2 linked regions of the Daphnia pulex genome follow. The protein of the gene in region 1 purifies or fractionates together with the protein of each later gene. This does not show direct contact. Links are inferred from orthologs where the notes say so. Each region holds a gene or a part of one and is shown on either strand. Other genes may lie near its edges. The genes, in order: exocyst complex component 3-like and exocyst complex component 7-like.

What was found.
Region 2: the proteins of exocyst complex component 3-like (region 1) and exocyst complex component 7-like purify together in Homo sapiens (affinity purification with mass spectrometry; 5 studies listed by BioGRID and IntAct, counting the BioPlex papers as one, with this or other methods). This does not show direct contact. The link is inferred for Daphnia pulex from reciprocal best matches to the Homo sapiens genes EXOC3 and EXOC7.

The regions. Positions count from the first base shown.
Region 1 is NC_060017.1:4,101,181-4,117,639, forward strand, and holds exocyst complex component 3-like, read right to left. Parts: upstream 6,887-16,459; 5' UTR 6,735-6,886; intron 6,665-6,734; 5' UTR 6,600-6,664; coding exon 6,510-6,599; intron 6,392-6,509; coding exon 6,243-6,391; intron 6,161-6,242; coding exon 6,020-6,160; intron 5,744-6,019; coding exon 5,596-5,743; intron 5,518-5,595; coding exon 5,304-5,517; intron 5,240-5,303; coding exon 4,839-5,239; intron 4,771-4,838; coding exon 4,624-4,770; intron 4,548-4,623; coding exon 4,392-4,547; intron 4,331-4,391; coding exon 4,172-4,330; intron 4,109-4,171; coding exon 3,962-4,108; intron 3,901-3,961; coding exon 3,409-3,900; 3' UTR 3,351-3,408; downstream 1-3,350. Other genes in the region: UDP-N-acetylhexosamine pyrophosphorylase-like, read right to left, coding at 1-180, 260-420, 496-611; uncharacterized protein LOC124194259, read right to left, coding at 9,347-9,421, 9,485-9,553, 9,623-9,714, 9,867-10,284; sentrin-specific protease 6-like, read right to left, coding at 12,086-12,454, 12,523-12,793, 12,894-13,030, 13,120-13,450, 13,519-13,647, 13,720-13,868, 13,977-14,656, 14,747-15,182 and 2 more; transcription elongation factor SPT5-like, read left to right, coding at 16,110-16,175, 16,232-16,459. UniProt on the Homo sapiens protein: Component of the exocyst complex involved in the docking of exocytic vesicles with fusion sites on the plasma membrane.
Region 2 is NC_060020.1:3,971,849-3,988,251, forward strand, and holds exocyst complex component 7-like, read right to left. Parts: upstream 11,178-16,403; 5' UTR 11,076-11,177; coding exon 11,046-11,075; intron 10,910-11,045; exon of another isoform or gene 10,887-10,909; intron 10,831-10,886; coding exon 10,665-10,830; intron 10,569-10,664; coding exon 10,375-10,568; intron 10,311-10,374; coding exon 10,193-10,310; intron 10,132-10,192; coding exon 10,034-10,131; intron 9,965-10,033; coding exon 9,824-9,964; intron 9,759-9,823; coding exon 9,596-9,758; intron 9,533-9,595; coding exon 9,345-9,532; intron 9,283-9,344; coding exon 9,103-9,282; intron 9,038-9,102; coding exon 8,794-9,037; intron 8,723-8,793; coding exon 8,577-8,722; intron 8,521-8,576; coding exon 8,450-8,520; intron 8,372-8,449; coding exon 8,260-8,371; intron 8,186-8,259; coding exon 7,949-8,185; 3' UTR 7,863-7,948; downstream 1-7,862. Other genes in the region: uncharacterized protein LOC124192964, read left to right, coding at 2,406-2,604, 2,690-3,153, 3,221-3,671, 3,743-3,868, 3,930-4,019, 4,082-4,138, 4,203-7,345, 7,414-7,461; palmitoyl-protein thioesterase 1-like, read left to right, coding at 11,914-12,010, 12,076-12,185, 12,244-12,371, 12,441-12,599, 12,662-12,767, 12,835-12,931, 13,012-13,085, 13,145-13,270; transcription factor SOX-13-like, read left to right, coding at 14,285-14,547, 14,616-15,114, 15,196-15,344, 15,402-15,584, 15,648-15,798. UniProt on the Homo sapiens protein: Component of the exocyst complex involved in the docking of exocytic vesicles with fusion sites on the plasma membrane.

The sequences.
Region 1 (16,459 bases):
TCCTTTCTTCCGTTAATTGCTGGAGTCGTACTAATCTTTCCGCTTGCAACTGATAGAGCGTTTTCCCGGAAGGACAGCCGACATTGAACATCCCTTTTGGGTAATCGACACCTAAACGTGTCCCCTGTCCACCGGCTAGGAGCAGAGCAGCAACGCGACCTTGGCCGATCTGTTCCATGGCTGTACCCAAAAAAATATCAACTCAATAACAAATCATGCACTTCCGACTATAATTAATGAGTTTTTTTAAGTCAGTCACCAAGGTGTTCGTAATGCCTCAACAGTTCGGGGCTGGTCCGGGTAATTGCCCCGTGCAATTCAGGTGGAATCGGCTGCAAATGTTCGTCCAGTTTTTCTTCCTCGTCGTTTGCCGATGCTATCGTGTGGCGAAAGAATTCAATGACCTCCGGCATGTTGATGCTACACAATATTGAAAATAGTTAGTTGAGCACCGCAAAAAAATGTCTTTATAATACGAAGAAATGCTAAACTTACTCGTTGAGTTCATGGAGCAATCGGCTTCGCTCCTCTTCAGACAAACTCGGCCAAAACTGGAGAAGGTGTTCTTGTCCATGTTCTTTCAATTTCTGTTCCAGTTGGGTAACATCCATTTTTTTCAAATTTTCTTCACTAGAAGGGATGAAACCGTTAAAGATTATTGGATGGATGAACAATTCCCATAACAGTTAGCTTCTCTTTGCCTTAAAGTAACCCAAAATCATAGCGAAAACAATCGAACATGAGAAAGTCACTCAAATCTAATTTTAAAAACATAATTACTGAGAACCTCTCTGGCAATGGTTCTCTTTTTGCCTTTCACTTGGCATACTTAGCTAGAAAGAAAAAACTACTACTAGCCAGATAACTTTCTTGTGTACCGATTTCAGTGAAAGGACAGGAGCTGCAAAACAGGAAAGGGTCTGCCGCTCCAACAGTCGCAAGAACAAGGTTATAATACACAACGACTGACAAAAGATTACGAAGAGAGATGAACAAAACAACAACCTATCGTCTCTGCTGCCGGTTATCAACTGGCTCTGGCAACATAGACCCTCAATAATTTATAACGACTATCACCGTTGTATACACCCGCTAGACATTCTCATATGCAAAAAGAAAAAAAAAAAAAGAAACACCAAGAGAAAGTGTACGGTTGTAAGGGCCTTGGATCATTAGCGGCACGCCCAAACAACAGAGATACTTCGAATTCGTGTTTTTCCTTAAAGTTTTTGGGGTATCAAGGTGATCCGGAAGTTTCGTGAGATTTTTAAAAGCGCATTAAATATTACGCTTCAGTCACCCAATTCTTTTTCGGGATTGTAAACTTTCTCAATTTCGTGATCCACCAAAATTCCTAACGTCAGCGGTGGTTAACTACGAGCCACTAGCAATAATTTCATAAATAACAAATCTATCATTAGAAACGTGACATTTACGATTTAAAAAAAAGACATTCGGGATATCAGTTGAATATGTTATCTTTCAAGGAGAATGTGCATTCTATCTGGATAGCCTTAGAGTTACGAGCATTACTGCATCGCAGTGCTTAAGGTCATATGCTTTCAAAATCATTCCGTAATTGGTGCGCACGTTGGATTTGACTTTCACTAGGATAGTAGGATGCCCATCGGAACTTCCACTTTACACTCAAAACCTGTTCTCATTCAATGATACAACCCCAGAAACACGACAATAAAATAATTCAGAATTATTACTGTTTCAAGTTAAGCTCGATTTAATTCCCTATTGTGTAAAGATATATACAAATATGTACGTTGCGAAGATAAAAGTGGCAAGGAAAAATGTCGACGTCTAGAGAATGATAACAAAAATATGTAGGACGATCGTAATTAAGCTAGGTGACCTCGGTGCCTAAAACAATCTAAACATATTCACTATCAATTCCATTTATTGGAATTACTCTTAGGACTATCCATTATATAGTGTTCTAAGAAATGGCATTATGCATATTCAAGATGTTCAGCTTGAAATCATTTGATTTGATGAAAGCACTGAGATTAGTCATTTGAATCATTTCCTTTTGTTGGCATCATATTTTAGACACATGTGGAATGTATATACGCTTTCTTGCAACCGTGCTCCTTCTGTGATTGCTACAATTTTACCGCCTCTTTAGAATGTTTGACATTTGAAAAAATCCCCGATATTTATACACTAACGATAAACACCTAAAAGAACTTATCTCTAGTAACCGACTCAATTTAATTGCTAGTAGTCGTAATCTACAAAAAAACGGTCCCAACGACGCCCAAGATAAACATGTCACTTTTGCTTCTGATGAGTGGTGACACATGTAGGTAGATTAGTATTTCAATTTTCAAATGACGTGTCAGTACACCTCACACTATAAGTAACTTTAAACTAAACACCGAACCATTAATTTGAAAGGACTTGAGTAACGGGTCTATGATGCACAAAACTCTAAATAGACAAACGGTTTTGGCAAGGCAATAGAAACCACGAGAAAATATTATTACTCACCTTCCGTGCACTAGTTACTACCAAGTATTCAAACTGAAGCCATGTTGCAAACGCTGTTCACCTTAACGTCAAAATGTAATGTTTCGGCATAGGTTTTTCGTAAGGAAAAAGGTAACAGACTAACAGCTAGTCAGCTACTAGTGCAAACAGCTGTTTATTTTTCATTTTTTTTTGCCTAGCGGGCTTCTAGGCCATCTACTGGTGATACATTTAACTTCAATTCAAACTCAGCACACAAGCAAACCAGCTCCAAGCGAAGTAAAAGACTAAAAGGCAGCATAAAAGTAAAGTTGAGTTTCCTTTTCACTGTTGGGGGAGAAAATAGCTTAAAATTGAAATTCAATGCGGTCTAAATATTATGAAAATGTCGAGAAGTTGCCCTATTTCTATACACGTACACACATTTGACTAAAAAACCACCAACCACCGTTCATTTTTATCTACTATTCGATTCATCCACTTTCGGATAACGGAAATTTTACAATCCTTGTGTAGCAATGAAGCCAATAAGCCACCTAGGCCACATACAATAACTCGTGAAGATGTGAAACAGTACAAGAGATGAACGGTATAAAAATCGGTTTAGATTACTTGAAATGTAATCCCAACACGGCTATACTTTGAGAAATTACTAGGCTTCCCTTTTGGTAAGGAAGAACGCATATCGATTTTTTACTATAAACCAAAAGCCAAAACTAAATTTAACGTTATTTCGGTGACGCACACATAGTTACTTGCCGTTATGATACTTAAGGAACCGTAATTGAAGTTGGAAACCCCCGGAAAATACGCGCATTCAACTGTGACACGTTGAAAATGCAATATCGTCGTTGGTGTTACAAACATTATTGAATGCTGTAGCATTTTTATTAAATCGGATAACATGCGTAGATAAAGAAAGAGTGTTTACGAGAAAATGGAACTTGGAACAGTAATCAAAGAAAAAATCGTCGATCTAGCACTCTCGTCTTTGGAGCCGCTGGACAACAAGTCGGCCACTCTTTGGCGGGCTTCAATTCTTCCAAAATCTCCTCTAAGACTCAGTAGACACGTGAGCTGATCTTGACTGACATCGGGGTATTTTTTGATGAAGTTTATGAGCTCCAGGGTTATAATTTCTGAATCACATTTGATGACTTCGGCCAAAGCAGATATCGCCTTTGCCGCATCTTCGGTGACCTTAGGAGCATCCGCCGAAAAAGCACGACTGAGAGATGCAGGAGCTAAAAGAGCTTCGATTTGCCCAGCTTCCTGGATGATTTTGTCCGCTACTTCTCTTCGTTCGTCTTTCAACGACAGCTTCTTCTGGAAAATGGACGTTATGTATTTTCGAGTGATGCATATTTCAGCTTGCCGGATGACGTATTCAAAATTGCGTGGCCTCAAGTGCATGTAATCCTGAAATACATAATACATTAGCTCGGTGGTGTTTCAAATGGCACGGGGAAATAACTCTCACCTGAAAATAGTCCTCCAAAGTTGCGCAAATGGTATCCACGGGAACGGTCGACAGGACCCATTTGCGAGTCAACAGATCCTGAAAGTGTGGTTCAAGATCCAGGAAAGCCTCATCTAGCAAAAATCCAGCTGCCTCATTCCTAAGGCTCTGATTTTCAAATCACTATTAGTTTGGGTCCTCTTTAAACTAGTAATAGGTTATAGGCCTTACATCGTAAGTTTGGCTAAGAATTTCGAATTTGTTGAAAAATGATGAAGTGCCACTTTGATCACCCTTATTCCCATTCCGAGATCTCATTTGCTGAGAAAGTTCCATCGCGTGCAGGCAGTTGTTGATAATTGCGATCATGTAGTGTGTAAAATAAGGCACCTTGAAAGAGAGAGAACCAATTAGTAATTCACTAAATGTAACTGTATTGCGACGCAAATACTTGGCTTCTATCTTCAAAGTGTTTGTTTTTGAAAAGATTTATCGCTTCTCGGTACATCTCTCCATACTGCGTGATTTGTTCCAGTCCCAAAATCAATGCCCGCATCATCAATTCGTTGCTTATTGTACGCGACACACTTAGATTTTGCTCCACCATCTAAACAATGAGTTAAAACGAAAAGTGAATAATCGTTTTACATCACGATTTGCCAAAAGAAACTAAGAATAATTACTTGAAAAATGATAACGATCGACTCGGTGTGATAATGACCATCGCCGTCCGATTCCGGAACGATGGGTCGTCTCCAATCCCTGGCCTCTGCATCAACAGTCTTTTGCATCCAGTCGTTGTAGTTTGAGGCCATATTACTTATATATTCCTAAATAAATGTACAAATGTCATAAGTTACGTATAAAGGAGCAGATTATGACAAATTTCTGGAGCTACCTGGAAAAGCTTTTCTATGGTAGAATCGCTCAAAATTGGCCCTAAGGAAGTAGGGTCGATGTTGACATCCTGGTGTCGGAGAAGCTCTGGACCTGGATATGTCTGTAGCACCCATGACAACAGTGTAACAAATTCATTGCCAACCAGGCCAGCTGTAATCACTTCTTCGAGGTGTTTACTGATGCTCGTGTGATATTTCTGGTAAAACTGATTGACGATATCCCAATGAGGAGGAAAGCAAGGGGCGCACAGAGTTTTCACCACACGAAGATCTTCGATAATCAGCAAACGAGTCACCTCAAGGTGACGCACTAGCCACATTTTATTGTCAGCTCTCTCTTCGAATTGATTGCCCTCTATTCTTTCAACGACCGCATCGTATAGAACTTCCAGTGCTCTTGCTAAAAGTTGATATAATAAGACAGATTAAATGTGTTAAATGTGCACTAACATTTTGAAAATCACCTTTCCATCTTTTTGGTCTATCCGGTGGCAAGAATCCACTTTGCTTTTGACGCTGCACCGCATAAGCATCCGCACGTTCTTCCCGCTCAATAATTCGAACTGCTGTAACAATCACTTGCGGTTCCTTCCGAACTGTGTTCAAAGATCTACCCAAAAGTAACCACAGCTGCTTTCCCAATTGTTCTGACAACTGTTGCACTCCAGAAAAATACGCCTGTCGGATTGAGACAATTCCTTAAATGAGTATTACATATTTACATCGTGCGAATAAAAATAGAAAATATGTTCAGACCTTAAGCATTTGCTTATCTTGCAAAGAATGATTAGGTAACCTGTGGAGTTCGTAGAGCAAGTCATCACGTGAGTTCTCTAGATCCGTAAGACTTTGATGCGCATGAAGAAGTTTTCCTTCGGATATCCACTGGCGAGTTTTATCGACACTAGAACAAAAGTCGGATTTTTAATGGTTATATTCTATATTGATAATGAAATAATAACATTTCTAAGTTTCTTATATTTAAGCTGGTAATTCTAAGTTAATTTAGCATCATATTTTCATGTTTAGTTGGCCAATAACTTGCAGCTAGTGACTAAAGTCTAAAATGTATCCCAGATTATAAACTATGTCTTTTAATTTTGCCATTGAAAATTAGTTAGAGTAGTTCAATTGAAAGAAAAACAGTAATTTAAAATTTAAAAAACTATGTAAAAGTTACCTTTCTGGAACAGTGAAAATATGTTTCAAATTTTCCATGGCAACAGCATATTGTGAATAAACAACATGTTCTTGCCTTACATTTTTAACACTTTCACATAGTGTGGGAATTGTTGTGACACACTCTTCAATTTCATGTAACCTTTAAATGCCAACATAACACAATATAATAATTGTAGTAGTCTAGAAGTCATCTGTGAACATTTTTAAATGTGCTTTGATACCTATGACGAATGTCATTAATATCAACCAATGCTGATTGCAATTGTTGCAGCCCACTTATCACACCATCAAGTTGACTTTGCACAGCTGTTTTCAGCATTGCTTCAACTGAAGTTTTTTTCCTAGTTACTCGTTGTTTGTACTGCTCCACCTAAATTTAATAAAACAAAAACAAAACAAATAAACATAACATCAGGTTATAACATATAATTATGTTGTTTACATTTTAAGGTTTTTTTACGGAAACAATCCAAAAAATGAGCTTTTACCTTTTCAAGCTGATCAGGGCGCTGCAACATTGATGACAATGAAACAGAAGCAGAGAGCATTGCCTCTTCTTGAAGAACTTCAATATTCATTTCTCTATTATCACAAACCTACAACTACCAAGAAAACAACAAACAACTTGTGTTTTGTTGACAACCTAGTTTAACATTCAATTGTCACAATTGTTATTCAGTTTTGGGTTATTTTAGTGATTCCTCAATTATTACCTGATTCTCCGCTCCTTGTGGTTGCTAGAATTATCACCTTCGTATATTTAAGATAAATATTTTATTATTATTTGTTATTCCATGATTTGTCACTCTGGCAGTTTTTCGTCACTGGGCCGACTGGGCGTTCATTAGAGATCGATTTTGGGGCTTACAATCGATTTTCCAATATTTCTTCTCGCCTTTGCCGGTTTATTTTAATTAATTTTTCTCCTATTTATTACGCAATATCTTTGAAATCATCTTAACAAAATACAGCACCCACCTAAATATGAATTAATCTCTTTCGCGTTTTTCGGTTTCTCCCCCTATGACCTATATCTTATAGATTAGTTTTTCTTAGTATGGGAAAAGCCACGGTGTTTTTTGTTTTTTGTGTGTAGGGTGTGACACTTGATAACAACGAGTAGGCTGACTGTTTTCTTAAGTAACTAAAGGTTAATCTATTAATTAAAATTTTAAAAGTTAAAAAAAAAAAAAAAACGGCTGGCGTAGCGCCGTATTAGTAAGGGGGAAACGCGAAAGGATCGATTGGGAAGGTAGGTAGCCTACTCTACATTTTGTCATTTTATTTTTCTTTGTTTTTTTCGAAAATCGATTTTATACGTTAATTACACATCCGGTAGTCATCCCGTTATGCTCACGATTTTTGATAATGCCCAATTTCAAATATTTATCTTATTATAACACAGCACGTTGTCCAACTATGTTTTATCCTATAGTTTGTGCGTAAAACAACAAGTGAGCCTAACAAATTGCCTTAATATAAAGGGATAATAGCATTGAGCCAATTACCAATTAGTTTTGCGGAAATGATAATGCAACACAGCACGCCTGTTAAAATGTAGAGTGGTAAGTTGATTGTTTCGTCAAAGATGTTCATTAATAATACATCGAGTAAATAAAAATACATAGGAGATACTTGCTAAAAAAAAGGGATCGTCTCATTATCTGAAAAACAGAGCGAAAACAAAACGGGATTATGTAAACTAACGCATCGTTTATAAAGATGGCAACCCACGGGACTTTTAGGCGATTGTTTCGTTGTAGAAACATCTGATGCTCGATTTCTTGAACAAAAACTGTTGTTGTTTCACGTAGGATCGTAGGCGCTGCATTAATTCGTCGAGTATCTTACGCAAATTAGGACGAAACTTTGTTCTTTCCATCAAATGTTAATTAGCATATTGTCCGTAGGCGTTATTATGGCATAATAGCGGTATTGTTCTTTTCACTGCTCGTAAATTCATTCGTTCAGCATTGCATCGGATGTTCAACCGCCATGTATAACCTACTACGATAAACCCAAACTGGAGTCTTTATTTATTTGTTATACTTTTAAATTGATGGCAAATGATTCATTGTAGCATTCTACTTGCGCTAGAAAGGATAATATGGCAAAAAGCAGTAATCGATGGTCATGTTTAATGGCAATAGTGAAAAGGTCAAATTTGTCTGGACTGACAGATTGCGTCCGATCCAAACAGATTGACACACGATTTGAAGAGACAGCCAGCCAAACTGAAAGAGAACAGCTTTGATGCTCGGCCCCCGTACATACATACCCCCGGTTCAGCATACATTACACGATGACCGCGCAGCTCGTGCATCTATACTTATATATATACCTCTCATCTGCTGAATCCATTCTGCCATCTGCCTTCGAAATCTACCGTATAATACAACATAGTTGTCGTCTATGCGTAGTCGCTTAAGAGTTGCCGTAGCAATAACATGTCGATCTGACCAATGCCGCTCTCCGGGAGAGGAGATCCGACCGTGAGATGAGACCGCAACGAAGCATCGGTTGTAATCCCACTCTATAACCATTATGCAAAATATCATATCCAGATGGGGATTCTACATCCATTGTATTTCGATATAGAGCGCTGAAATGAAGGTCCATCAACTACCAAGGGTTGTTTTTATTCATGTTTTATACTCGGAGCAGCCATTTCATTTGTTTTGGGGATGAGTTTCCTTACTTAGAACTCGAATGTTTCGTCTTCACAAACGACGTTGCCCGGGCTAGGAATGAATTATAAATTCCCCAGATCCTTCAAGGTCTTTACGTGCGATTCCTGCGGATTCCTGGGACCGCAACTTCTCGTTGCATGGATGAATATTTTAGATATCTATCTGGCTTATTAACAATTCACAGAAATCAATTAACTTTACATCACGGAATAATAAATGAATAATCTTCTTCGAGGTGTGACCTATATATTTGTTCATCACCCTTGGAATTTTAACTCAGTTTTTATTTACTAAGCGTTGCGTAATTTGGAGTGTCAATAAAAAATGCGACGCGAGGTTTAATTTGAGAATTCTATTTGACATTTATTCATTCTCTTTTCAAGAAAGGATGATATGAAATAATTTGATGATTTCTCTGCGCACAGAACTTTCTGAATTATAACACAATGGTGTCCATATCCAGTCCCGTTTCGTGGAATTTCCAGCGTCTTATAAGGCGCCTTCACACTAGCACTGTAATTCTTATAGACGTATGGTCGGGAATTACCATAGAAACGTGGAACTAATCAGAACAACGAATGGCAGCGGCTTGTTATAATGAGACCATATAAGAATTCGGCTATAGGATGGACACTTTAGCGAGGGACACCTCGCTGTCGGTTTTCGTCGCTGTTAAGCCGTTGGCTTACGCTCAAAAGATGAGTTTCAACCTTTTAAAAAACGAAAAGACAAATTTAATTATCTGTGCAAAGCGATCAATCCAAGTAACTTACCACACGATAAAAGAGGCAGGAGACCGGAAGTTCGTCCTCGCCATTCGGGCAGTGACGCACACCGTCACACTACAATCGCGAAAGTGCACATGAGTATTATTCATTCGAAGAAAACTATAATGAATCAAAGCGTCCTACTAGTTGGAAGTCGTCGATGCAACGCCAATTGCCATTTCGGTCTGGCGTGGGACAATAAAATTCGGGTTGGCCGTCCTTCGCCGTTGGGCATTCTATACAAACAATGCGGATAATAAATCAACGACAGATCATTCATAAAACTTAAAACTGTCTGAGTAGATACCAGATAATCTGTGCATATACCATCAACTCGGTTCGGTCGACATTACAAAAGAAATTACGAAAGACATGATATAAGACTTACGGCCCGATCTGGCGAGGTACCGATACTGATAGAGCGGATCGAGATGAATAGGGAAGCGTTTGGTTCGACGTAATCCGCTACTGGTGGTGCCACGAATTTTCATTCGTGTTCTCTTGACTTGTTTCTTTTCTGTCGGCAGATCGTTATCGTTGCCGCAACACGACGGCGACTCTTGGTGCTGCTGTGGCATCAGCATCAGCACCGGATCCGGCGTTTTCGAACTGCTGCTAATCGATGGGCTAATGAACGGCTCCAGCATTTCCGAATCTGAAACAGGTATCGATGAGTCGAGTTTGACATTCAAAGAAGAAGAAGCAATACTGCTGCTGCTGCTGCTGCTACTCTGACAACACAATTCCATAGGCAGGCTCAGGGCGGAAGGCAGAATAGCCACTAGTACGAAAACTTTCCAATCCATCGCTCCTGATGCTGTGAGATGATGGTTTCCGCCTTTGGTTTGATAAGTGATGTTGCTGCTGATGCGACAACTCAAATGATTTTGACACCTTTTGAAAAAATACGGAGCTATAAAACTGTTGCAATCCCGGTGCGAGCAGCCAGAGAGTGATTCCTTGTCTTTCTATGGCTGTCTCTTTTATAGGATTATAGATGCTGCTGGAGAGGAAGCAGCAAGACATAAAGAAAGGCTCTCCTCTCGTCCATATCCCGATCCTACGCGCAGTCTCCATAATCCATGCAGATTAGACTCTGTCAGCTTCATCACACCATCGCTCATAATATACTGTAAAGAAACTGAAAAGCCTCCCAAGTATCCAACAGCTGCATGAAAGGAGGTGAAAGCCAAAATTGTGCCAACTGGTTTTGCAAGGTGCACATTATCATTTGGGACCCTCAATGTCGGCAATTCAATTGCGGCATGGAAGCCTTTAAGAATTCATTTCCCTTGAAACGGTTTTTTAATTATTACATCGAATTGTTATTTGGATATTAATCATTGCGTTTAATTTTACCTACTAATCAATCTGTTAAGTCAACCTATTTCATGTATACATTTGTAAAAGTGTAGAGTTTCAATATGAACGTATAACAACTAAATAGGTGGATTCTGCGTGATATTTTTTCTTGGCAAAACCGTGTATTCAACCAATACGCGTTTGGACTGCTTCCATGATTACAGTATATCACTTTATATTTGGAAAATAATGGTCACATATGCATCTGAATAACACCAGTTGAAGGAAAGGCATCTTTAGGAAGAAAAGAATATTTCGCTAGAATCGCCAACACAACATAATGGAAAAGAACATTGATGGAATACAGCACGGTCCCTCTGCTCAGGACTTCCCCCTGGCTTCCATCGGCAGTTCGACTGGCTGCTCATGAATGAGATACGTCCATTATTCATGCTGTTAGCATATTATCCATCTATCCATTAGCTAGAAGAACCACTTTCCTCCCCCCACCCGTACAAGTACAATAAATGTAAGCTACACATTGAATTAATGATTTGACAGTAGCTTTTTCGAGACTAAATTAGATTTAGATCTTACGCGTGAATCGATGTCAACTTCAATCGCCGCCTTTTCAATTGAAACGGGATGATTTGGTTGCGCATCCCACTCCAGAGTTGATTTACAGACAAAAAAAAACCCAGTGACAATTAAGCCACTTTCGTTAGCCGCCGACATGTCATCGACATTCGTACAAGCAGATCGTCTTATTCGAGCCTTTCCTTTCATGTTCTCAACAAAGGCCTTCCGGTTGTACCTACATCCAATTAGACATCAATGAGCTCACGTGCCTGTGACATACCAAGGAAAAGGTGGAATATATATGCCATCTTATAGGCCCAGTTCTATTACCAACGTGTGCAGTTTTCATAAAGCGATTATCGATCTTTTCATTCGGAATATAACGGTGACGGCTGAAAGATCACATGCGGAATGGAATGGATACCAAGGGAAAACAAACAAAAGATTTCCGTAGAATAGCCAAGAGTATCAATACCGATTCTGAAAACTACCGAGCCTAACATTCTCTTCGCTACCTTTTATGTCCGGTGGCAATTAATTTCATGGCTGATGAACGATAGCTAGAGCACGACTTTGATATTCTGATTCTGACGATGTGTTTGACGTCACGTTTTTGAACAAACTTTGAAACCTTTCACGTTGGTAACCAGTTTTTTCTCGCAGTCGAAACATTTTTTTTTTAGTTTAGGAGAACGACAAACCGATAACAAAAAAGAAAAAAAAAATCTATTTCTCCATTTCATTATTCGCCTCTTGGTCATACACGATATTTGATGGGCTGGCTCCCTTTTCAACCTTTTCTTTATCGAGACACACCTCAGATTTGCCGTCTTCCTCCATCGCCTCCGTCTTATTTTCACTATGAATTTCACCATTTTCTTTATTTGTAGCGGCCGCAGTCTTATTACGGTCTTGAAGTGCAATTCTGACGTCATCTCGAGGTAACAATGTCAGAACTTGGTCTGCTGAAGGATTCGTTTCCTTGGTGAGCCGTATCAATAAGAACTGGATGTTTTTTCTTTTCCTTCCGGCAATATGAGGTGGAAACCAATTGCTTAGTTTTATATTCCGTAAATTATAATCCAGAAATGGACTCTGAATTGATGAAATAAAAACATTAATTCAGCAAAATAAAAAAATTAAATAAAAAATTTTTAACTTACCATCATAAAGTATTCTGCGTATTGAAGCACAAATATCCCGCAATCGTACGAGTTATTTTGTTGAGGCACATCAAGGCATGCCGATATCATCGAGTCTTTAGTAAAGGGGTTGGTTGACGGTTTAACGGCGTCCCTTCTGAAAGCAACAATTGATTTCTCATTTGGCTTCATTTTCTTTACTTGGTGTTCCACCATTAAATACTCGCGAAGAGTCGTAGCAACTCGATTGTGTGCGCTTCCCGCCAATGAATCAAAAAATAAGATGCAAGGCCTAGAATACAAGAATAAAACATAAGAATGTCGCATGAAAAACACTACACTAAAGGCAAACTGTAAAGCATTATTAAAAGACAAAAATGAATTTGAATTACTGTTTGATAGGACCAGCAATCTCTGGCAATTTTTCTACTGGAGTGCGGTCGATTGCACATGATAATTCTTCTTCGTCGCTCTCAGCTTCGTCTCTTTCTGTGTCAACATTCAACGTAATCTGGTCATCTTTGGTCGACTAAAGAACGGATAAGAACAAGCAAACAGAACAAATTGGTTCGTTTATCATGTCGACTCGTTTAAACTAATAAAGGCAGACATCAATACCTTTGAATTTGAGTTAACAGGCGTAACTGTGGTATTTCCTATGTGAAACGATTCACCGTTCACGGCCACAAATGACCTCTGTAAGTCGGCGGTTGTTTTCTTGGAGTATGTTTGTTGGGGGCGAAGTTTGATGGGTTGATTGTCTATGGCGGTCACCGGTCCTGATAACCAAGGAAAACAGACAATGGCTAGAAACCAATGGTTACGCTCGTTGATGGGTATCACGAGATAATCCTTTTCAAAAATGTCCACTTTCTTTGTCCACGATTTAACTCTCGAATGACGTTTCTCCTTTATCGAAAGGGAATCGTCATCTTCAATTGGATGTTTCCTGCGTAAATTCATCTCTAGAGTAATTACACTTCAAAATGGTTGTTGTAATAGATTAAGAGCTTGTACCGTCCATTGACTTTGGGTGGGCGAGTCGTTAACCTTTGGTAGAAAAACGATGAAAATACGTGGCATTTCTTCTTCAGACTTTCATCAATTTTAGTACTGAAAACGTATCGAAGATAAAAGTCGATGATACTGCAAAAGAAAAACAAAGCAAATAGTTAAAGGTAATTACAGAAAAAGACAACGGTGCAATGCCAAATTTACCTGTCATTTAGTAGATTGTCCTGATTTAAACAAGCATAATCTTCAGTGGTTACTGAGAAGCGGTCGGGTCCATCCGACCAGGAAAACATTGGAGTCACTGGCAAAACAGTTCTTGCGAGAGATTTACTGGATCCCCTGGTTATTCGTATCTAGAAGAGAATGAAGACTGATTTTAGGCACAAATTCGGCTTTCAACTATACGAAGTACACACTTAACCAATAGCGTAGTTATTGGTATTAGCATTACGACTACTTACTTCAACTTTGCTAGTGTCGTCTTTGCCACCATTCAGTTGCGTTTCAGTTGTCGAAACACTCGTTTCTGCTGATACAGCAGTGGTCGCGGGGAGACGTTTAAGCGCATCACGAACTTCTGGGGGTGAGGAAATAACCAAGAGCCGGTTGGCCTCGGCCTGATTAATTTCGTTGTAAACACCTTGAGGAACGAAGACTTGTTTGATTGCGTTCTTCGCTGCATCGTCCAACCCATCGGGCAGCAGTGTCAATCGTTTTTTATTTTCGTCTTCGCTAGCAGAATCCCAATATGGGCCACTTTTGGGTAACCCTAATTTTGTTGAAAGCTGGCGACACCAGCTTGGACCAACATTTAGGAAGATGACTTGAAGCTTTCGGCTGAAAAAAGCGTCCACTTTTAATAGTTGCTGACTTGGGATAGCTACATTGACGCAAACAGCATTTTTTTCTGATGGCCCATCGTGGTTGTGAAAAACTGGAGCTTGCAGCATAATTCCTTCGGATGAGAATAACACACGTCCCACTGGAGTAATCTTATATGATCCAATACGAACAGATCGGCAGTTTACGGCAAAGAAAGGTCCATTCAATCCACCTTCTTTCCAACGGAGCAAATCACTAGATCCAATTTCCTCTTCTGCATCAATAGGCAAATCCATTGAGACACCATTTAAAGGTTCACCTAGAAGAAAAACAAAGAATTTAAAAGAAACAAAAAGTAAGATAAATTAATAAGAAAAACCAGCAGAGGAAATAAATGTGTTTAACTAACATTCTTTAATATTTGGCTGTTCTTGAATCACAATTGAAGGTTTAACATCCAATTTTTCAGTTGATTTGTCGGTACCATCACATTTGAGTTTTTTGGTTTCCTGAAAGGAGTCATCATCTTCATCGCTACTCAGTGTTACACACTGTGGCTCCTCAAATTTGGCTCTACTCTGTCTTGAAGGTTGAGCATTTTGAGTCCGAGTGCGTCGGTAGCCATATGATGAATCATTTGACATCTGAGAGATTCCGGATGATTTGTTTCCAGGTAATGACTTAAGATTTGAAGTGAGAGGTACCGTTTTTTCTTTTTCAAAGACGCGCATGCACCTCATACATTTATTAGTGGAAACCAAATGTCCACAGTGGGGGCAATTAGCACTATCTGGATCTGGTGATTGCCCACTGCATTTCTCTTCTGAATTTGTCTCTTGTTTACCCTGTACAAAAACACAGTTTACTTGTAATAGAAAATGTAAAAAAAGAAACAAAAACTTACTGTGATCCCAAGTTTCTGAGTGGATTTTTGATTGATCACTTTGTGACCAACCTGTTTTCTGTATTCTTGAAGTGTTATCTTCTTGATGCCCTTACTATTTGAGTTATGTTTCAGTAGTTTCGGTTGAATGTTTTCAGAAACTAAAACAGCCTTAATCTCCGGTACCGAAACTGACCGCTGGTTTGAATTGACACTAAGTTCGGACTTGGAACTCGATTCCCCCATACTAATTATAAAATCTCAACCATCTGGACTGAATATCAACAGTTCTACGTCAGTATGATTTCATCCTGATTTACCTGTCACATGTGCTATCCGAAAAGTACATTTACCTATGAAGGCTATGATATATGACTTCGTTAGATCTGTGCAGTACCAGCAGTATTGACTGTCGTCTCATGTGCTCTCCCGTTTCAACTAAACTAAACCAGGTAGGCCAAGTAACGACAAAATACTTAGTGGCAAGTGGCGCTATGGTACCCCAAACAATATATTTGAATTGAATAATTATTTCAGAAATGAATGATATAAAACTACATAAGATAATTAATTTCCTTAAATTTATTGAATTTTAAAATGGATAACTTTGAAAAGCCATAGGCCTATTTTACATTTAATGAAAACATTTGCGAAATACTTTCGAATCAAAGGATAGATGGCGTGTAAAGACTCCCAAACTTGTTTATCCATGCATTGCAAAATTTCCTCTGGTGAGTGACGCAGATGAATTCAATTTAGGAACAACATAGTTGGAAAGAAAGAACAATTTACCTGTTTTCTATCTCATTGAAACGTTGTAGCATTGTTTGGTTTAAGGTGCAATCGTTGTTTTTCTTCTTCAAAAAAGTATTCAGCAAGCAATTAAAACATGTCGGACAGCGAAGATAGTAATTTTTCCGATAGGAAGGAAGCCCTCAGTGATGCTGAAAGTTCGGTATGGTTTACACATTTCCATTTTACTTGACGAAATCTAACCTTTAAATTTTGAAGGATAATGACTCTGGTGGCCGTAGTCACAAAGCAGTAAACAAGAAATCTCTGAAAAAAGACAAATCCAAAAAGAAAAAGAAAAGGGATAAAGGTGCAAAAAAAAGTAAACGCCATAGAGGCAGTGATTCAGAAGAAGAAGAAGATGACGAAGAAGTTGAAGAGGAAGAAGAAGATGAAGATGAAGAAGAAGTTAATGGAGGAAGAAGAAAGCGAAAGAAGAGTGATAGA
Region 2 (16,403 bases), on another chromosome or scaffold:
TACAAAAATTAGCAAGTTCTAAATATTTTTAAAAATTCGTTCAATTAGTTACATTGGTAAAATCATGGGAGTAATTCAAATAGATTTTATGTTGTATATTAATACAATTCGTAATTTTCATTTCATGAGCATTGAAGTGCGAAACATATGGTTACTTTCATAGAAATACAAATATGGTAGCGTACTTTCCATGTGGCAGCGGGAACCAACTTTATCTAGTTAGATTCCAGCTTTCTGAAATAAAATATTTTAAACGTGATTAAGAACAGGTACAATACGCAACCTATAAAGATTTCAATGACAATTACTTCGCAAACATTTCTGAAATGAATAAATGAAATTTTTTTTTTTTTTTTTTAGATTTTTAGATACGGCGATGTACAAATCTATGAGCGGCACAGTTCTCTTATATTTAATGTAATAGAGAATCAATTTCCCAGAAATCTTGTAGGTCATGTGATTGCTGTTGCTCTATGCAAACTCGCTGACGTGTCAGTTGTTGATTTGAAGGGGCCACGATACTTGATTTTAGTTAACGACATGTATAAATAAAAACATATGGAGAAGCATTTACATAAACCCTAAATGGGTATATGAAGGAAAAGGGCCATGATGGGTGGAGTTTCACTTTTTAGAGTAAAAACCGGCTGCGTATTCAAGCTAGAAGCTACAAGCTACACCTGTTTATACACTGCTAGATCTCCTTATAGCCGCAGTGCCTCATTGAACGTTGTGGAGATCAGCAGCAGCAACAAGCCAACGACAGTGAAACCAGTTTACCAATCGCCTGGCAACCATCAAGCGACTAAAGGCAATAGCTTTGTGTAGCACGAAATCAATGAGAACCATCTCTGGAAAACCGGCTAGCAATCCAACTAACTCAAGGCCAATTTATTTTAGAACATTCGACTTGACAAGATCTAAGCTCCCCCAATAAGTTTAATTGTAGTTTTTTAAGGGATTAAGTGCTCCGTATTCAACACTCTACAACTGACTGACACTTGAAAACATCCAAGCATTGTAAGTTCAGATTTAATCTATTTTTTCCAACTTCTCATAAAAATAACGAATATAGAATTTGAAAATAACAGTTCCACTGAAAAAAAAAAACACGCACGATATAGTGCGCATTCTCTTTTCATTCGTAGTCTCGCCCCTCCCTTGGCGACAATGTTATTATTTCGTTTCGTTCCATTTGAGATCGATGGAGTAGCTCAAACTTAATTATTCAACAGTTCCCCTCACTGTGTACAATCGAATTTTGTCAAAGTCAAACGAGTCAGGGAAATTTCAGAACACCTTTCCATACGCACAGTCTGTTGCTCTCCATCAGCACATCACCAGAGCATCATTGCTGCTCTCGACCAATGGCGTTTAATTGTGAAAGGGATGAAATCTTAAGTCGGTAAATTTCTCTTCATCCTTTCTAAATAAACAATCCATCAAAAAGAAGCTCGAAAAGAGGATATTCTGCTTACAAGTGCATTTTTCATTATGGTTTTCCGAGCACTTATAGGAAATCAAATTAATATTTTTATCTTTTTAGCTGGTACTTTCACCCAGTCCCCGAGGTCACCCGTTTTTCTGAAAAATTTCACTGTGAAAATATATTACACGCGGAAAAGAAAACTCATTAACCATTTAAGCATGGTAAGCAAAATGAAGTAATTTAGTTTATTGTAAGATGTCACTAGTTGTCCTCACGTTCACGAAGGGAAAATTCATGTCTACAAAGTTGCCTTTCTCCACATGCATTTAATAGCTATAGAATTCACATTCTTATGTTTTCTTCATTCTCTCTGTTACTTAATAATCACTACAAGGATTCAAGAAAATACTTTTTATACTCCTTTGAGTTTTCAGGTAATCATTAGAAGGAAATACCCATGTCAAGCAACAACCAATGAGTAATGGAAATAAAGCCTGTAAACAATGATGTAGCTTAAACTTTTAAAAATTCCCTCTTCTTTACACCGCAATAGATAAGATAAGTGCGTAACATTACATGCGTTGTACAAAACGCAGATGTATGTGTGAAGCAATATGGCTAATGTCTCCTTTCAATAAGTCAAAAGCAAGACAAAATTATGTCTCAACAATTTTCCTCTGCGTGGGTAGTTAAGTACTTATCATTGGCAGTAACATTAATTATGCTTTCTGTTTGCTTTTTCTTGAATGTACGTCTTTCTGATGTATGTATCTAGTTAACTAATAGTTATTTAATTCTTTGCCCATGCTAAGGTGTGTTTAAGGTCACCATATAAAACTGGTCTAATCGTCTCACATTAAGATACAATTCCTATATCCCAAATGTGATCAGCTTTTAAGGCCAACTAAAAATAACATACTTTTACAAAATACCTTGATTGATCATATTTTTTGTTGTTGTAGGGTAACATTCTACTATGCTGAAAGCTCTGTACCAGTTAAATTCTGAACCTGTTGTTCTCTTGAAGAAAATTGAGAAATGTGTGAAGAACAAATTACCAGATTGTACAGCTAATATTGATAGAGATGCCATGCAGCGATATCAAATTGTCAAGAAATCCCCTGATCCCAGAGATCATAGTTCTAGTTCACTCAATTTAAAGATTAATCTGACAGGTATAATTTAAACCATTTTGTATTTTTTTCATAGAAAATTTATAACATATGTGTGTGTTGCTAATTCAATACTTTTGCTTTATAGGGGGTGTACCCACTTGTCTCAAAAGAAAAGCATCATTGGAAGATGCATTCACAGAAGCTGATGCTGTCTATGAAACCCATAAGAAGCTAAAAAAAGATGAAAGTGTTGATTCAGACAGTTCGAAAAAGAGGTCAAAACATTATCAAGGAGAAAAGCCGGAATTTGACAAAAAAACTAAGGGATCCGAAACGAGCGATAAAGAGAAAGGAAAAACAAAGAAAAAGTTGGAAAAAGAAAAATTTAAATCTTCAAAATCTGAACCTAGTTCAGAAACGAGTGTAGCTGCAAAATCTGGCCATCACACTGAAACGGGTGGAAGCGGTTTATCTTCATCGGAACTTCAAACCAAGCATTCTCAGAAAAAAGATAGAAAGCACGAAAGAAAGAAGAAGAAATCGAAAGAGAAGTCGAAAGACGGCAGCAAATGCCCTTTGGATATTTCTACGCTAGAAAGCAAGAAGCAAGTATGTATACGAAATGATTTCCTTGGTGATTATATTAAATTAAATCAACATTTTTGGTTTTGTGCAGTCCGATAATGGCGAAGACGTTGATGGTAGTGAAGAAACCGTCGCGATAGACAAAGGTGGGGAAGTTTCCGTTTCTATTCCCAAGCCCGCTTCTGCTGATGAGGAAATCACAGATGAAGAAGTGTTTGAAGAGCCAAAAGAAGTTATTGATGCACTAGTGGAAGATGAACAGAATTGCGATCTTCCCCGTAGTGATTCTGCCACAACAGTTGCCCTTGATATGGATATGGATAGACGGAGCGTTAACAGTGCTACCGACGACGTAGAACCCGAATTTGTTAATCTTGCATCGCCAGATAAAACAAACACAACGGCTGACGACACATTCCCCTTAAATGATGCTACAGAGAATGAAATGGACGTTACATTAGAACGCTCACCTGAAATCGGCTCGTCCCATAAAGTTTGTGAAGAGGAACTACCCGAAGAAACCAAAGAAACAGAAGATGGAGGTAAAGAGCCATATTTATCATTCTTATCATTCTTATTTTTAAAATATCTTATTATTGATCAAATCTTAAAGTAGAAAACAAATTCTCTGTGCCGACCGATAATGATATAATTGGAAAACCCAGCAGCAATCATAGTAGCAAATCGCAAAATGATGTTGAAGATATCTCTCCGCCCGTTTCTGTAAACCAGGAAAGCGGTAAATTAATATTCGATAATGCAAATCATAAGCTCAAATGATAATTTCATTTGCTTGGCAGTAGATGACGCACAAAGTTCATCGGTGGTCGACAGTAGCCTCACAGAAACGACCAATGAAACAGCTTTAATTACATCAAAAAGCGAAACAGGTACTTTAGCATTTCTTGAGCTCTTCTTGTAAGTGCTTTTGTTTAACACTTATATTTTCCAGAAACTTTACAAAATTCTGAAGCAGATGGTTCCACCGTAATGGAAGTTGAGAAACCAGGTTTGCATTTTGATGTTGTCTCAGTGGAATTATATGTTGACTGATAACAATTTTTGTTTAACAGAAAATGACCTAATCGACAGAGTAGAAGATCAGATAGTTCCACGAGAAGGTTTAGAAGAAAGCGCTATTTGCGCATCACCTGCTGCATCTGCATCTGAACAGGGAGTTGAAGTAGTTCCTGAAACAGCAATCCCTAGTTCGCCTGTGTCTGCTAATCTCGAGACGGAGCCAGAAGTCATATTGCCAATTATTGGAGACAAAGATAATGAAAATAGTTCAGATGAAAATTTTTCGCCGGCTAAGAAGATGTGCTGCATGCCGATCGATGTCCCAACTGAGCAGCTTGATCAGCAAGAATCGCAAATCGGATTGGAAAAAATAGAGATCGAATCCGCATTGTCAGCAATTATTGCTGAGCGTAAAACGTTGGGCAAAGAACTGCGGCTACTTCTACTCAAGTCTAAAGAATTGGAAGAAGAATTAACCGTGAAAAATACTGCCATATCCGCGGACGTCATTTTGGTTGAAACACTGTCAGACGCAGTCAATGTTGCGCGTGAAGAACGCAACCGACTAGCGGCGGATAAGAAAAGGACTCATCACATGGTTCTTCAAACTGAAATCAAGCTTAGGGAGCTACAAGTGCTGTTGATCCGACAGCAGCTTGATTTGGGTGACACTAAGCTTGTCGAATCACATCCATTGTTTAATGATATGAGTGACAATGAAAAGCTCGTTGCTGATCTAACAGAGCAGGTGGCAAATAAGTCAGCTACGCATAAGGAGACAGAAGCAATTCATCAAAAAGCCGAACAGGTTTTCCGACAGAAAAATGAAGAACACGAAACACTTGTGAAACGTTTGGAAGAGGCTCGTCAAATGAGCCAAGAGTTGAATGAATACCTAAGCAAAGTTACCTCTGAAATTGAAAATATCAAGTCCAAATTGAGTGAACTTGCAGACGATGGAAAGGGGAAATGTCTACGGATTGTTGACATTGAAGAGGAGTCCATCAAAATTGAATACTGTAAGAAACTGAAAGAAATTGAAGTGAAAAGACAGCACATTGCAGTCATAGACGACAACATGGAATTTGAATATTTGATTCCTAAACTGTGTCAGTTGCTTCCAATTAAAATCCAAGAAGAAAAAAAAGAAGAAACTGCGTCGAAACCTGCCACGCAGCCGGAGAATTCTGCATTAGATAATCCAACTTCACCTGATTCAAGACAATCTCCTCATCAGTTTCCGTTTGCACAACAGTTGCCAACTACGGTACCACCAGTGACAGTTGCTGAATCATTATCAAACTTATTGATAGAAGATACAGGGTCAACATATCATATCATAGAGACTGTTGCTGTTTCTTCAGAAGTGCCATCTCCTGTCGTTATGGAAACTGATTTTTCACCTCAGACTCAGCCAATGTGTTTGAGAATACCGAGTACATCAGTTGCTGGTGGTAGTCCCACTTTATCTAACGTAACAACCACGACACTTGGATCGCCATCCATCATTCAGTCTACGCCATCCAGCAATCCTATTGCTCTCCGAGTAGAAAACTTGACCAATCCTGAACCTACTCAAGCATCTACTAGCCAAAATATAACTCCAGCTTCGTTCGCTCTGTCTCCACACCCTATTTCCTTGAAGTCTTTAAGTGAAGCTTACCCCTTCTATGCCCAGTTTATTAATCCAAACAGTCCAACGGCTAATTCGGATGATGAAGCGATTCTGTATCAAGAAATTGTGAACGGCTGTCGCAATTTTACCCACTGGAAATGCAGTTATTCCTGTTCAAAGGATTTTTCTAACATTGCCCGTGATAACCCATTGTTGCGCCAAAGTGCTGGGATAATGAAAGATTACCTTATACCTTTCTATCGGCTAATGCTTAAGAAGAATACTACGGCCGCTCTACTGTTCGATTCGATCATTCATCAAGCTCAAAAAGCTAATTGGTACGGAATGGCAGCCGTGGATTCAACTTATATGAAGCAAATGTTAGAAAACAACCTGCGATCCGCTATTGACATTGGGACAAAGTATAAAGATCAGTCAGCTATACTTCCGTCTCGCGTAGAATTTTCTCCCTCATCGGGGAAATCATCGATGCCGACTTTTACGATCCATCTAGCTACTCCAGAAGCATTCCGATCTCCAACATTGGCAAACCAAATGCAAGCTAGTAATCAAAATTCAGTCGAACGTTCATCAGCCGACCGGACTCCAGTTAACACTGTTACGCAAGGCGATCATTCGCCCATCGGTGCGCTGAATACAATGATCACCAATCAAAATCGTCAGGTTAATCAGCAGACGCCTGGTCCTACACAACACAGCCCAAACACTGTTGCGATGGAGGGACATCCCGGTATGCCACGTCAAGGATGGACTGGCAACTCCGTGAATAACGGAATGGTTGCATATCAGTCAACTGTAGTGCAAAATACTGCTGTTGTTGTACCTATAATTAACGCACAGTACACAGGTAGACATCGCATGCCTGCGGTTCAGCAAACAGTTCCACCACCACATTCTACTTGGCCACAACAAACTGCACAGCAAACTGCACACCAAGCATACGTTCAAAACCTGCAGTCTAATCGGATGCAAGCACCCGTCAATTACCAAGCTGGGCCTTATCGACAGCAGCAACAGGCGACACTACAACACCAGTACATGCACCCTAATGGTTCGCAACAGTCATTGGGCTCATCTCAGCAACTTCACAATCGTTTGGCTGGTCCTATTGCAGGAGACAGTCCCTCGCGCCAGCAAAATATGTCCATTCTTGGATCGCACCTACAACAAGCACAAGCACCCGTTCAGCAGCAGCGAATAAGACAACAATCTTCCTCGCAACAGCTGACAAATCAGCCGACAGTATCACATCACTTGAGCGGAATGCAACAACAGCAAGTTCCACATTCACAAGCCCATTCCTTGCAAAACGCACAACACCAAATCATGCAGCAGCAACGCCATATGCCCATGTCTTCGCCGCCAATTAATGCTCAAGCGCAAAGACATTTTCCTGGCCAGCAGTCGGACATTGCTAGACAGCCTGCCATTCGTCGACTCTCACGAGATGTTCCGCAGCCACAGCAACACCCGCTTTACACTTGCCTGAAGTGTGGACAAGAAGCTCAGCAAAAGTGCAGCGGGTGTCAAACCACATTCTACTGTTCCCGTGACTGTCAGGTAATATCGCAATTCAGTTATTGTATACTTGTTTTGTAACGTTTTGTTTTTTTAAATAACGATTGTAGGTTGCGCATTGGGATGAACATGGTAAAACGTGCTCAAAACAGGCTTGACGAGAACGCGAAGGCTTACCAACCAAGACCCTAAATAGTATCCTAGTCCTCGGGTGTGAAGGAGTGACAAAATTGAATTTTCTGATGACAAGTGTTGCGTCCTATCTGTTTTCTAGAATTTGTTTGATGCGTTTAAACGTCCTTCGAGTGGCTCAGTTTAATCTAGCGGTGCTACGTTTCTAAGACAACAGCTGTCATCAGTATTATGCACAAAACAAGGTAGAGCCGTTTTATTTTTCTCATGTGTCTCCTGTTCTACACGTCAAAGTTGAACGTTTAGCAGGTTTTGTTTATTTGTGAAATGGAATGGAATGTGCCTGTACAAGTGTGTACATGCTGTTTAGTCATCGCTGAAGGATATAATTTCCTCTTTGTTTTAATAGAATTCAGACTTGTCGCTATTGTAATTTCATTTTTTAATAAATTTAAATTTGGTGTTGAAAATACAATCAGGATGATTTTTTGTTAACCTTGATCGTTTTGATCATCATGCAGCAACGTCGAAAAATGTATCGATTACCGATGAAATTTGGGCCGGTGAGTACTTGATGTATTTTTCACTGTGTTTGCTGAACTGCGCGTTGCTGTACTTGTCATAGAAAGCCTGATACTTCGGCAGGATGTACTCTTTGTTATCACGCTTCAGACTCTCGCGAAGCTCAACGTCTGGCACTGAATAACCTCGTTGCTCTCTGGACAATTCTTCAAACTCCTTGTTAAGGGTCTAAAAGATTTATCGGATCAAAAAACAACATTTTAACACATGTAAAGCTTATATTTTAACTTTTGAAGACCTACCGAGAACTTTTCTTTAATTAAAGCTTTATCCTTTTCCCGTAACCTGCCGGAAAGAAGTACAGATGCTGGAACATCTTCCGAATTCCATATTGGGGCTAAGACCTTGTTCCAACTGTAGGTTATTTAATTAATTGAATAGTAACGGTGAGTTCAACAAAAAATTCAAAGGAAAGGAACAAAGTATCAATACCTTTGAGAATAAAGCCTCTTCTGTTCGTTGATCATTTCTCGGTAAATCGGCTCGCATTCTGGTTCCACAACCTAAAAACACCAAAATATGTGATTACATTTACTTTGACTACAATTTTGTGCTTTACCTTCAACAGGTCTAGTAGGCCACTACGCTGTAGTGCGCTTAACAAATAGTGGCTGTTATTTAATCGAAAAATATAGCGCAAAGAAGAATCGCTGTACGCATCGCTTTTAGTAACTAAAGTTAAATTTAGTTGAACCAACACTTTTTCTAAAAAAAAAAGGGTAATTTGTTAATCAAACCAGATTTTAAGTTAAACCTGAACAAGAAAAATGAATTACTGATATAAAGTCCTAGTAAAGCTTTGTTTCTCTGAGGTTTCGGCCAGGGTTGAGTGTGTACCAATGCGTTGGAATAACTTTGATCTTGGGCGAGAAGCGGACCGACTGTGTCAGACAAATCAGTCAACTGGCCGAGAAAAAGAACGACATTGCTCGTCATTTCATAGACCGTGCCATCTCTAGGCAATGGAGCTGCAGATTCAGAACGCACAGATTCTGCAAAGTCTTCAAGGGCCTTGCCGCACTAATCAATCACAAAATAACACAGTGATAAAAACGAATCTAAATTATGGTGAGTTATTAGCTTACGGTTGTATGGAGATTATTAACCATTGCGTAAAATCGTGTGCGAACAGAAGAATCGCATCCTTCCAGCAATTTATCACAGTCGCCTTTAAAACACACTAAATGGCGTAAGGCAGGAAAAAGAAGCAAAACGGGACCGAACTCTTGACGAGAAACACTTCGGCGCGCTCGGCCGCTTAAGCTCTAAAAATTAGTAAAGTACAAGAATGACTAACCGATGAAATTGAATCAAGAATATTTCCAACCTCGGCATCGTGACAGATCATTTCCAATGCGTCTCTGAGAATGATAGACAGAACAGCTTTTTGATGCGGCAAAGGGACAATACCCAACATAAGTCTCAGTTCACTCTGCAGTAGTCGCAAAAGTGCCGTGAATTCGGTTAAGAACGATTCGATTTCGTGTTCTTCGACAGCATCTTCTTTTATACTGTCTGAAGAAGAAACAATAATGATAATTGGGAAAAAGTAAAATAAATTTAATTTCGTCTTCTCACCCGCAGCGCTTCTCCTGGGGCCCAAAGCCAGTCCTGTAGAGCTTTCCAACGTTTGAGAAGCTTTCAAAAGCATTTGGTTGGCCTTGCGCTCAAGCATTTGCTGTAGTTTCTTAGATGTCTTTCTACTTGGAGTGTCATAACTGGCTTTGACACCTGATTTTGCCTGAAAATTATAAAAGAAGTTCATTATATATTGCCTAATAGTAGTCACAATAAATATTAGATTACCAGCAATGTAGCCGTTCCCGACATGGCAGCTACGGGACTCACGCCTTGGTGACTCGATACCCCAGTAGATGAACTTCTCAAATGATCACGAAGGCCAAGAAGGGTTTTCTGCACAGTATTTGCGCGAAACCGAGCGTAAACCTGGAAAGTAAATCAGTGACAAAGTTTATTTAATATGTCGTGGATTAATGATTGATGATTACAAGTTACATTCATGAAGTCATCTTCATTGTGAGTTACAAGCCAATCAGCTATTTGCATCAAATTGTCTTTCACATCTGCAGAGAAGTGATTTATACTTATCTCCTCTGGAATGAAAATGGAACATTACATTGAATTTTCAGGTAGTTATAGATAAATGGGGTTCACCTTCATCATTTGCTAGAGCTTCCAAAAGTGCTGTAGCAGGAATGGTTTGACTATGTTTTGCTAGGTGTTCTTTAAATTCGCTGATAATATTATCTTTGCCAGTTTCAAATAGGCTCATCTAATACAAAAGTTGTTTTTTAAGTTTGTAAGGTATGGTGATTGTAAATAAAAATGAAACTTACAACATTTTCTAACTCCACACTCTGTGGATTATTTCTCTCAAAGAAATGCATAGCTTCTTGCAATCGACCGAGGGATTGGAGAAAAATTTCTAGACCCTGACTTGAAGGGCTCTCTTTTATGACAGGCTCAACTTCCTTGCTGACACTGTAATAGCTAATGACATGATCCAAAGAGGCTAATGTTTTATCAATGTCTATAAACACGAAGAAAGTTAAAAAGAAATTTAGATTTTGTAAATTTAGAAATACAAGAAATATTGATATTATATGAGATCTCATTAATAATTTACTTTCTTGTTTCTGTTGCAAATTTTTTGTCTCATTGTAGACTGGTAAAATGGTCTTTTCAAGTCTCGCAAGCCTTTCATCAAATGAAGTCAAAATATTGACCATTCCATTAGTAAGCTGAGAACTTCTAGAAGCAGCATCTTGAAGAAAGACTAGTCCTGTCAGCACCTTTACCAATCATTAATTAAACCCATTATTTGTTTGATACAATATGTCAATATAACCAGTCATATATGTGAGTATCCAGTCACAGCAAAGAAATTTGAATTTTGTAACAAGAAATTGAGTTTAATATTCAAACCTTTAAAATTAGTATTTAAAACAAATAAAATCAAATGATATAAAGAAGAACTAAGTAGGCCTATATAAAACAAAAAAGTAACCTTTTCATGTTTATGATTAAAATCTGACATTTTGCTGAATTTCTGTCAGTTGTTTCGTTTCTCGCCATCTACCGGCTAGAAAAAAACGGTCTTTTATTTCGGTAGGGTAGACGGTAGGTAAATAGGTAATTAACAAAAAAAAGTAAATTCCTCGATTGGTGCGTCAAGTTGAAGTTGGACAAAGAAAAAAATCTAAAAAAGACGTCGCCGTCTATTATGGAAGAAAATATTCAACGTTGAGTCCATTATAATCGCAAGCACATGGGAGCAATCCGAGCCCCACTAAAATGTGGCTAATGACGAAATACGGCTCATAAAGAAAAAAAGCGCTCAGATATACCAGTTTGTTTTGGTAAAAGGTAATCTGAGGTAAAATGGAAATCTGATTTTACTAAGTTCTAAATGGGTTCTTGTTTTCACGGAAGTTGTGTCGTAGAAAAATGGGAAAACTCCAAAACGGTGGTGACTCGTGAACTATTTTGCCGTCACCCTTTCGATGACCCGCAGTTCTACGTTTTTTTGAAGCGACTTTAAATTATTTTAATAACCTTTTTACGATTTTGTTGTTTTTCCTGCAACATTCTTTTTTTTTAAGATCGCTTGAATAGCCCTCTATTGAGATCGATTATGAACCAACCTGGCCACCTGTTGAAAATAGTCAACACTAACCTTGAAAAAAGAATAAATTTTGAAGCCAGCCCAGCACCAAGAAATGTCAAATACACAAATGTCAATGTCAAATGTCAACGTGAGAAACTCGTGCATGGTTGTAATTCAATTACGTAACTGCTTTGTCTAAATTCCAAGCCAACTTATTAGCTTGACCCCGTAAGTGTATGAGTAGTCCTCCTTGGGTAAAGAATCAAGAATGAAGTACACACTTCCCTTAATGTGTGTTTTCCTCTTATTAATAAATTGTCAAATGGTTTTATCAATACTACCAATTGTGATCTGGCACGGATTAGGTAATCACATTTAAGGTTTCTACTTCATTCACAATTTCATGATAAATTTTGAAATGGGTATGTAGGTGATGTTTGCTGCAATCCATTGAGTATTGGGGGCCTACAAAAATTTATACAACAACAAATTCCTGAGGTCTATGTAATTTCGCTGAAGATTGGCAAGACCATTCGTGAGGTATTAATTCAGTATAGCTCAATTAAAAATTTACACCAACAATTCCAATATTATGTAGGATTTTGAAAATGCATACATCAAGAATGCAAACGATCAAGTTGAATTTGTGTGTGATCTGATCAAAAATGACCCTAAATTAGCATTAGGATATCATGGATTAGGGGTATCTCAAGGGGGGCAGTTCTTGTAATTATATCTTTATTGTTGAATAGTTAAGATTATCTTTGAATCATTTTAATTTTCTGCTTATTATAGGAGAGCTGTAGCTCAACGTTGCCCTGATCCTCCGATGGTAAATCTAGTCACTTTAGGCTCTCAACACCAAGGTGTATATGGGTTACCCCGTTGTCTAGGAGATGATGTCAAATTTTGTGACTATGTTCGCTCGCTACTTAATCATGGAGCTTACAAAAAGTTTGTCTACTTGAGACCTATACATTTACAAAAATAATTTTAACAGAACTAATTTTATCAAGATGGATTCAAAATTTTGTTACTCCTGCTGAATATTGGCATGATCCACTAGATGAAAAGGCATACAAAAAAGCAAGTGTATTTCTTGCGGATATCAATAACGAAAGGGTATGAGAATTTTTCATTGGTCCTATTTTTAACTGAAATCGAAACTATCTGCTATTTCTTTTAATAGTCTGTAAATGATACATACAAAAATAACCTTAAGCAACTGAAAAACTTCGTCATGGTTAAGTTTACTAAAGATACAGTTGTCCAACCAATTGAAACAGGTACGCGCCGCTTTAAAGCTCAATTGAATCGCGACATTTTTAACAGTGTGTTACTCTTCACCTTTAATATATCCGTGCAGAATGGTTCGGTTTTTATAAGGAGAATGATTTGAACTCAACTTACACTCTTCAAGATTCGCAACTTTACCTTGAAGTACATCGTGTCTTACATTACAATTTTCTATTAATTACATTTAAAAAAAAATCTCTTAGGATCGCCTTGGTTTACGTGCAATGGATGATGAAGGAAAACTCCATTTCCTACAAGTGGAAGGTGACCATATTCAATTTAGCCAAGCATGGTTTAAAAACGAAATCATTGATAATTTCTTGCGATAAATGATTGAAATTGTTAAAAATGTGTGATAATTTTTTCTTATAACCGTTTCCGTCTGATACGTCATGTTATACATAAACTACAATAATCGTTCATCCCGATATCGGCGGCTGAACGATTCTAAAACTATTGGTAGATCAATACAACATCCTCGTCAAAAAGTGGTAGCGTTTGCCAGCTAGTTAATACGTGCGCCCCGGTGCGAGAAACTTCTTATTTATAAAAAGTTATTATAATAGTCACAAGTCCCGGCGAACAAAAGACGGTCTCCAATTGCAAAATAACATATACTGACATCTCCCACGATTTTAATATCATTAAGGGAACATGCGTAGCCTAAACAGTGAAAAATTACATTAATAATAGCAAACTTCCTATTGACGCATGTTCCCATAGATTATATACAAAGAACGACGAGGATGTCCAGACTAGCATCGAACACTTGTCGACATGCGCAGACACATTAGTGTCCAACAAGTATTTACGACCTACTCAATATAAAGTTGGTTTTTTGTTTGTTTTGCAGTTTGTGTTTGGAGGACTGTTTTTTTTTGTCACTTTGATCCTGGGATTTTGAGGTTATTAGGTATAGATTTGTTCGTCAATTACTAAAGAAACCAAAATTCAAATTTCCGAGATATTTTCATATTCATTTTCAAACAGAGTTCCTCAATATGGAATAGTGCAGAAGTCAATCAGGACTGAGCTAATATATCTCCTTTATATTCTCTTATCGGTAATTTGTTTTTATATGGTGATTGATATCCATCCTATCGTTTAATTTTATATAATTTAAAAAAAATATAGCGTAAAATTTATTAACTGGACTCTATGCCATCTAGCGGCAAACATTAATGTCATTTTTATTATAAACAATGGCTGCTCACGATTGGGTGTGAAGCTTTGTCCAGAAGAGAAACATCAGGGCAAGCAAGGTAAATTATCTTTATAGCATGTGCATGGGATATGTTTTGTCCTTCTTTTGTAAAACTATTTAACATAAACTTCAATAGAAAATGGCAGCCCAAATCGATAAGGGGGCTGTCGATGGGAGGGCATCAAGATGCGATCCCGATGAAACAACCCCCACAGTGATAAACAATCATTGCATTAAGCAGACCATCAGAAAAATCAAGCCCATCCCGCCTCCACTAGATTTAAGCAAAAGGGGACCACTGGATTTAACCAGCTCAGAAAGTGTTAGTGACTTTATCAGCTTTTCAGCCAGCCCAAGAAGTCCTGCTAGCTCAAATCAAAAGCACTTGCCGTTTCGTAAAAGGTTAGAAATTTATTTTTGATCCTCCTGATTGTATTTTGAATCTTCCTCATAACTTTTTTCTTTTACAGAGCATTTAGTTGGACCACATTTCATGATGAAAGTGGTTGCAATTCACTTAGTCCTGGTCCATCTTCTGCCATTGTGCAACGGAGCACATATTATGGGTTCATACCCACCAGCCCACATATTAGCCGCTTATCAGTCATCAAACAAGAATCAGTTGATCAATCTGATGTGTTTGGTGACTACATGAGCTCAAATGTGGGAGTAAAGGACGACCAAGAAAGTGTAGCAATTGAAACTTCTTCAAAAGAAAAACCTTGTGTGTATTCTGAGACAAAGACCATGATCACTTACCCTGCTCCTCAAAGTCCTGCCTTTCCCACTCCTGCCACTCCTAGCCCACTATCTCCTATGAATTTCCCTCCCACTTCAACCTTTTTCCCACCCCATTTTCATCCAAAACTTTCATCGTATTCCTGGTCAGGATCATTGCTCAGTCCCGCCCCATCTTTGCACAGCAGCAGTCAAGAAGAATTAGCCCAGTGTCGTCCGTGGAAATTGGAGGTATAGCGCTTTTCAGAATTTAACATTTGATGTGACCATTAAAAACAATTCGTCTTCTTTTTCTTTAATTCCACTTCACAGGAAAATGAAATGGAAGAAGAATCGCCTGATAATATTGCTGCAAGCAGAGAAGAATCTGACACATTTCATGGAGGGCCCCTTTCTAGGGAGGATTACGTACACAGCGAGCCTCAACCAGGAACATCCGAATTGTGCGAAAGATTGCAACGGTAAATTTGTCAATATTTTCCAATGCAAAGTAAACCAATAATATGTTTGTTTTTCAGGTTCGATTTCGTCATGCCACCAGCAGTACCCAAGAATAATGAAAAACGTTATCAGGTCACGAGTGAGGATACGTCCTCTAGCTTGGCCCCTTCTCCTGCTAAACGCCCAATGAATGGATTTATGCTTTTCGCTCAAAAATATCGCCTCCAGCTCATTCAACAGTTCCCAGGACGTGATAACAGGTGATTATCCATTAATTTCGTCTCTGACAATTTTTTCTAAACTCCTTTTTTTTGTTTTAACAGGGCCATCAGTGTAATGCTAGGAGATGCATGGAAACGATTGAATCCAGCAGAAAAAGAAGTTTACACCGCCGAGGCACACTTGAGAGCTGAAGAATATCGACGTTTGTTTCCCGATTGCTGGAAGCGTAAGCGTTCCAAGTCCACAAGCTAGACAATCTATCCTGTTTTCATCTTCTTTATCCTTTGTCTTTCGCTTATTTTTGAATCGTGGGTTGATGGGATCAGATTCGACGAGACGATCACTCGCATGTTTTTTTGCGTCCGGTTCAGCTCTCACGCGAACGTAAATGCAGACATTTTAGTTTTGATCAGGCGCGACTAAGAAAATTTTTAAGAGAAAACCTTTTCCTTTCTGTTGAATGGCTTTGATGTTACATGTATATATTTGGTCTAAAGAAATTTAGAAAAGTGGGTTCGATAAGCTTTTATGTTGTCCCGTTGGAATCAACTGCAGCTTAGCTCGCAGATCAGGCATTTCGAGAATGTTGGCTTTGTTAAGTTTAAACGGTTCGGAAACTTGATAGGCTTCGGAGCTTAAAGAATCAGAGAGTTCTTGCGGAGTACAGGGGGTTAGGGACGAGGAACTGTGCTGATGATGAGCGATCTTTGTCACGGCCTAAGCCAGCAAGGATCACTACGCAGAAAGAAAAAAAAAAAAGAAATTTCCCCTTTTTTGCAATTCCTGCCATTGAGGCTAAATAAGAAGCTTGTTTGTTCGATGTTGTATTCCTTTTTTTATTCAGATTAAAGGAAATA